Linked DNA regions of Kluyveromyces lactis. The protein of the gene in region 1 purifies or fractionates together with the protein of each later gene. This does not show direct contact. Links are inferred from orthologs where the notes say so. Each region holds a gene or a part of one and is shown on either strand. Other genes may lie near its edges.

Region 1 (3,037 bases):
TGCATTCAACATCTCAAACTTTCGAAAAGCTATAACCAGCTGATAAGTGTGAATATGTGGATTCTCAAGGCCTTACAGTCATATCAATATAGTGATCCTAAGGTTGTCCATGATCCCAGGGTCATCAAACTTTTAGTTAAGTCAATGCATACCGAAAACACTAACCTTAACTCACTTTACGAGTATGTCAATCTCATCACAAATGAATTTGAGGTAAGATCATTAACAAATGACGTGATAAAAGAAATAATAACGACTTTGGTAGAAAGTGAAAACTGGCCGACTTTGTTTAAATTTTGGAAACAATGCTTGTGTGAGAGTGCTGTCGATAGTAACGTATGGGATTTCTTCATAAAATCATTATTAAACAAGAATGACAAAGTCATTTTATCAGATATAGTGGATAATGGTCATTTGTTATGGATTCATAGAAGTAAATTGGTGATAAGTGATGACTTAAAAGCGTCACTATCGAAGTTACTTGACCGGGTGGATGGTAGTCATACCAATATTAAGAAGCTACTAAAGCTGTAAATAGTTTATAGACAGATATGATATTATTCTGGAAGGAAATTTCCTTCATTATTTTAATGTGAGATAAGTGTTCATGTGAAAGATTATGTCGATCAAAGCGCTTTAAGTGTTGCCATGAGTTGAAGAATTCAGACATTCAAATGTTTGTTCAAATATTCAACGAATAACGGTTTTACTCTATCTTGCTCTAAGTTTCTTAATCTATTCATTGCAACAAATTGACGTTTTATTCTTTGTAATTGAGGCATGGAGCAATTTTGTAGTGAGAGATCGACATAAAGACAGTTTGGATCGTTTAAATCAGTATTCTCAGGAGTAAGAATTATTCTTGAAGTGCCACCACTGACCACATTTTGCTGCATATATTTCATTATAATCTTTATGACACTACTGGCCTCGGAGTCAAGTATTTGCAAAGAGTTAGTGTGAGAGGCAGCCTTCAATATCGTGGCATTGTTTGGCTTTAATTGTTGCAGGATCTTCTCAGTATCTCTATCATTCGTTGCCGGTTTGAACACGGTTGGGAATATTGCCTTACTAATATCTGTGTATAGGGTACTGATGTCATCTTGAGACGTCAATATAGTGAATAATGGAGAATCCCACCTTGTTTGAGGGTTTGGTTCTTCATACCTTTGAATAAGAGCATTCAAAAAATTGCTTTCCCAAGGTTTATGCAAATCAGTCTCTTTCTCATTCCATTCAACCAAGTTGCTCATTGGGCATACCGTGTGGATCAAACAATACGTTGTCATCACGTTTTTCACTTCACAGTGCAATTGATACCGGAATCCTTTTATGTAATTCAACGAATCAACAATGACGACTTTCTGACGAGAAAGATCTCTCTTCACCACAGACATAATCTTAGATCTTGCCCTTCTTTCTTCATTTGACCCAATATAATCATCGTGAGATATGTTTAAGGTTTCATCTGAATGGTATACAACAGAATAGTTTGACAGTTTATCGTTGGAATCGATAGTTTCCTGTAGTAACGTGACGAGTTTCTTGGCCACAGTTGTTTTACCGCTACTCGGAAAACCAGTTAGTAAAACCAAGGGCATTGCTGTACAGTCAAGAGGTTCTAAGTTCACTAGACGTTGCTGCAAAGTCTGAAACAATGATTGAGTTTTTCCTCTTTTCATGAGCTCATCGAGTATTTTCAAAGTTCTTGTTCTGAACGCAGTAAAAAGTAATTCTCATGTTGAAAGAAGCTTTAATGATCACCTATCATGATTCACCAAAAGAAAGTTGACAAACTACTGATTACTTCTTTGTCATAAACATTAACGACAACTCCATTAACTGTAATAGTTGTTCACAAACTTACTGTATTGGAAGATATGAACGTTTCGGTAAAATGTGTCAAATACTCAGGTAGACGGCTGCAGTCTACATTTGTACCAAGAATGGTATTCCCAGATTTCAATATACCAACAAGTGACTTCAAAGGACATCAAAAGAAAGCTATACAAAGAGCTCAAAATCTCCTTCCTCAGCTTAATCTTCTAGTTGAACTTCGAGACAGCCGGGCTCCAATAGCCACTAGGAACCTCATATTCGATTACTTGTCCTTAGAAAAGAAAGTTGACAGACTAGTAGTTTACACCAAAACTGATCAATGCGATCCTGCTATTATTGCATCATTAAATAAATGGCATAAGGAAATGGACGAACAATATATCATGATAGATGGAAGAAGCAAAAAGGGCGCTAAAGATCTCTTACATATATTAAAATGGAAGTATGATAAGTTTCTCCAGAAAAATGATCCGGGGAAGAAGACTGTGGGACTACCACTGGGTTATAGAATGCTAATTGGCGGCATGCCTAATGTTGGGAAATCAACACTCGTTAATAGTTTAAGATTTACTGGATATGCAGGCTTGGATCATTCGGATGGAAGCAAACCCAAGAAGGTTGCGAAGACAGGTGATCAGGCAGGTGTCACCAGGAACACTAGTGAATGTATCAGAATCAGTGATTATAAAGGAGGGTTGTTTCTATATGATACGCCTGGAATATCTTTACCTGCCAAAGCAATGAGCAAGCAAAGAATGCTATCACTCAGTTTATGTGGGTGCGTTAAAAACAATCTAGTGGACCCTGTGATTCAAGCAGATTTTCTGTTGTATCTTTTGAACCTACAGGGAAAATATCAATTCTACACACACTACACTACAACCCCTACTAACAACATTGACATTTTGTTGAGTGGCCTCAAAAAGCAAGTAGGAATGACAAACGAGAATGCTGCAGCCATCTATTGGACAGATTCTTGGAGACAAGGTAGAGTTTTAAAATCTGGGTTAAGATCTGGTTCTAAGAAGTCCTCTAAAGCTACTCCAGCTCTATTCGAGTTGGAACCCATTTTGGAAAACTTTCAATACAAGAAAACTATGCAAGAAGAACTTGAAATTCTCAAAGGTTGGGATGTTTTATCCCAACCCTTACTCAACAAAAGAGAAAAGCATTTATCTAAGGCAAATACGCTTTTCTG
Region 2 (3,002 bases), on another chromosome or scaffold:
TATTTTGAATCCTTGCCTTGGTTCATGGGAGTATACTTGTCCTCCTTAGCCATAGAGAGTGATGATCCTGAACTAACTCTAGATTCAGTAGTAAAATCTACCTTCTATTCCCCGGCAAGAGATCGTGAGAGACCGACACATTTGGAAAGGGCAATGATTATCCCGCCTAACACTGCATTCGCTATATCATTCCAGTTCGATAAATCCTTGCTTAAATATGCAGAATATCCCCCTGATGCCAACCATGGTTTTGAGATCGAAGCTGCTGTTGCTGCAGTACTTACACCAGAACGTTATGAAGCCAGAACATCCTCCTTACTCTTATCTCTATCCACTCCTGATTTCAGTATGCCTTACAATGTCATCATTCTGACATCTACTGTCATGGGTCTAGCTTTTGGTACTCTATTCAACCTAATTTCTAAGCAACTGATAACCCTGGAAGAAGCTGATAAGATACTTGCATCGACAGGTCCTAGAGCAAAGCTGTTGCGCGTCAAAGCAAAGATTGTAAACATGCTACAGGGAAATAAAAACAAGATTATCAAAAGCGCTAAATATGAATAGCATTTCAGATTGTCAAAGCGTACACTTATATGAGTACATAGAACATATAGAGTAGACAGACAATTCCTATGTAATTGTGATAATCTCAACCACGAGAAAGAATTAAATGAAACTAGAATAACCCGAGACTCTAGCGATCAGAACGGATCTTCGTACGGGTCTTCTTCGTCATAATCATCATCCTTTTCAAACTCATACACAATTGCACCACCACTGTTGAAAGATTGAGCTTCAAGATATGGCAATTCCACTTGGTCTTTTGCCAGCTTCTGTTTCTCCGAAGTGTTCAAGTTGAATGTTGTTAAACCCTCAAACATTTCTGGACTTTCGTCCGTTACTGGTTCTTGTTTCTCTATCACATATTCATAATCATGTGTTTTCGAATTGATTAAGAACTTATTCTTGATAGCCCTACCGGACTTTCGCTTGTTCGTTAGAGTGATATAATATGTGGGATTGTTCAAGTTCTTGGGTATCACAAATCTACTTAAATCTGCATCCAAATCGTCCTCGTCTATGGAAGTCTTCGGAGTAACTTCTATAACCGTATTAGCAATAAATTGCAAGAGTTGGATCGCAGTTGGATAGTTCTGGAGTTCTGCTGGACGCCAGGCTGGTATCGACTGATGATATGTAGCCAATATTGTCACAAATGGCGATGCAATGGTAGATATGAATTGTGTCAAGCTTTCAGAACCGATATAATTGAATGTATCAAAGATCACTAAATGCATCTTAGGAGCTTGTTCCTGTGGCTGCGGTAGGTATGGTTGTAATGCTGCAACTAGTTGCTGGGTGGTTTTCCCCGACGCATCTATGAATTGGCGTGCATATTTCGGTCTATTTGGAGTCTCAAATGATACGAAAACGATCGGCATTTCGTCTGGTATGTTATCTAGGAATTCCTCAACCACAAATCGGCTGCTTTGTGCCATCGTATCGGTACATAGTATTAGCGAAGATTGTTCCTTCAGTGAGAACGTCCTCTTCAATAGAACTTTGGGATTATTATTAGTAGAAGCCATCTCAGAGAATAAAGAGCACGCAGTATATTCGTGATAGATCAGATACCCTGAAAGAATGCTGTAACAGTCGAAATAGATGAAAACAGGCTACTCATAAGTACTAGTTCCCCGCATGAACCTTGATCTTATCTCATCTCATCGCCTGTCAAAGTGAATATTTCACCAAGCATTTGGTATGTGAAATTGCATATTTATAACGTAGATCAAAATAAAAACACATAAAAGTATCCAATAACGGTCCCATTTAGTGCACTTGAAAGCGCAAACCAGTAAAAGTTAGATAAACTGTGGTTATTAAATATCTGGGTTACAATCGAGGGGGTATTGAAGTGGTTGATATAACTTTATTGGATATCTTCCCAACGTTACCCTGATATAAAATATTCGGGTAACAATATACTCAAAGTGTTTGCGTAAAAATACTGTAAGCTCATATACAGATACTGGTCAGTAAGTGTGGAATGATTGGAAAGATAAGGTTTTTGAAGAGCATTTAGTGGGTTTGAAGTCAATTTAGCGAGTCTTCATTGACTAGCAGTTAGGTAATTACTATTTGTACGATTTTCTGCGTTTAAATTTTGTCAGAATCGACCGGTACTGCCACTTTTATCAGAACCAGTTGTGAATAGAACCAATCCTGAAGCAATGGTTGTTTACGGCCCACAGCCTTTGACACGGCTTAATACTGAGACTAGACATGGGTTTGAAGAGCAGTATTCAAGTGAGAAACTCTTGGAGGCGCATGCTAGCAATTTTATATTTTATTACGATGATAAGAGGCATCGAACCAATGGGAATCCAGTTCCTGAGGAAGTGAAGCAAGAGGATAAGGATGGATATTACCAGCCAATTCCTGATTGGAAAATAGTTAAGGACAGGCAGAAGACAGTTGCAGCAGCATTATTACTATGTTTGAATTTGGGAGTGGATCCTCCTGATGTGACTAAGACTCAGCCATGTGCAAGACTTGAATCATGGGTTGATCCCCTTGCATTTCAGGATTCTAAGAAAGCTATTGAACAAATAGGAAAGAACTTACAGAGTCAATACGAGACGCTATCACTACGTACTCGTTATAAACAGAGCTTAGATCCCTGTGTGGAAGATGTGAAACGCTTCTGTAATTCATTGAGAAGGGCTTCGAAAGACGAAAGAATTCTGTTCCATTATAACGGTCATGGTGTACCACAACCAACACCATCTGGAGAAATCTGGGTTTTCAACCGTGGATATACTCAGTATATCCCGGTTTCATTATATGATTTACAAACTTGGCTAGGAGCCCCTTGTATATATGTCTGGGATTGCAATAGTGCTGGTAACATTGTATCCAACTTTAAAAAGTTTGTTCAAAAGAGATTGAGAGACGATAGAGAAGGCAATCATGATATGGCATCACCTTCACCTACA

The links.
Region 2: the proteins of KTI12 (region 1) and IKI1 purify together in Saccharomyces cerevisiae (affinity purification with western blotting; 5 studies listed by BioGRID). This does not show direct contact. The link is inferred for Kluyveromyces lactis from reciprocal best matches to the Saccharomyces cerevisiae genes KTI12 and IKI1.

Annotation. Positions count from the first base shown.
Region 1 is NC_006042.1:271,838-274,874, reverse strand, and holds KTI12 (Kti12p), read right to left. Parts: upstream 1,683-3,037; coding exon 663-1,682; downstream 1-662. Other genes in the region: ATP25 (Atp25p), read left to right, coding at 1-534; putative GTPase MTG1, read left to right, coding at 1,881-3,037. UniProt on the Saccharomyces cerevisiae protein: Elongator complex-associated factor that is not a structural subunit but rather transiently contacts the complex.
Region 2 is NC_006037.1:831,020-834,021, reverse strand, and holds IKI1 (Elongator subunit IKI1), read right to left. Parts: upstream 1,593-3,002; coding exon 705-1,592; downstream 1-704. Other genes in the region: GPI-anchor transamidase subunit GPI16, read left to right, coding at 1-567; ubiquitin-binding TORC1 subunit KOG1, read left to right, coding at 2,238-3,002. UniProt on the Saccharomyces cerevisiae protein: Component of the elongator complex which is required for multiple tRNA modifications, including mcm5U (5-methoxycarbonylmethyl uridine), mcm5s2U (5-methoxycarbonylmethyl-2-thiouridine), and ncm5U (5-carbamoylmethyl uridine).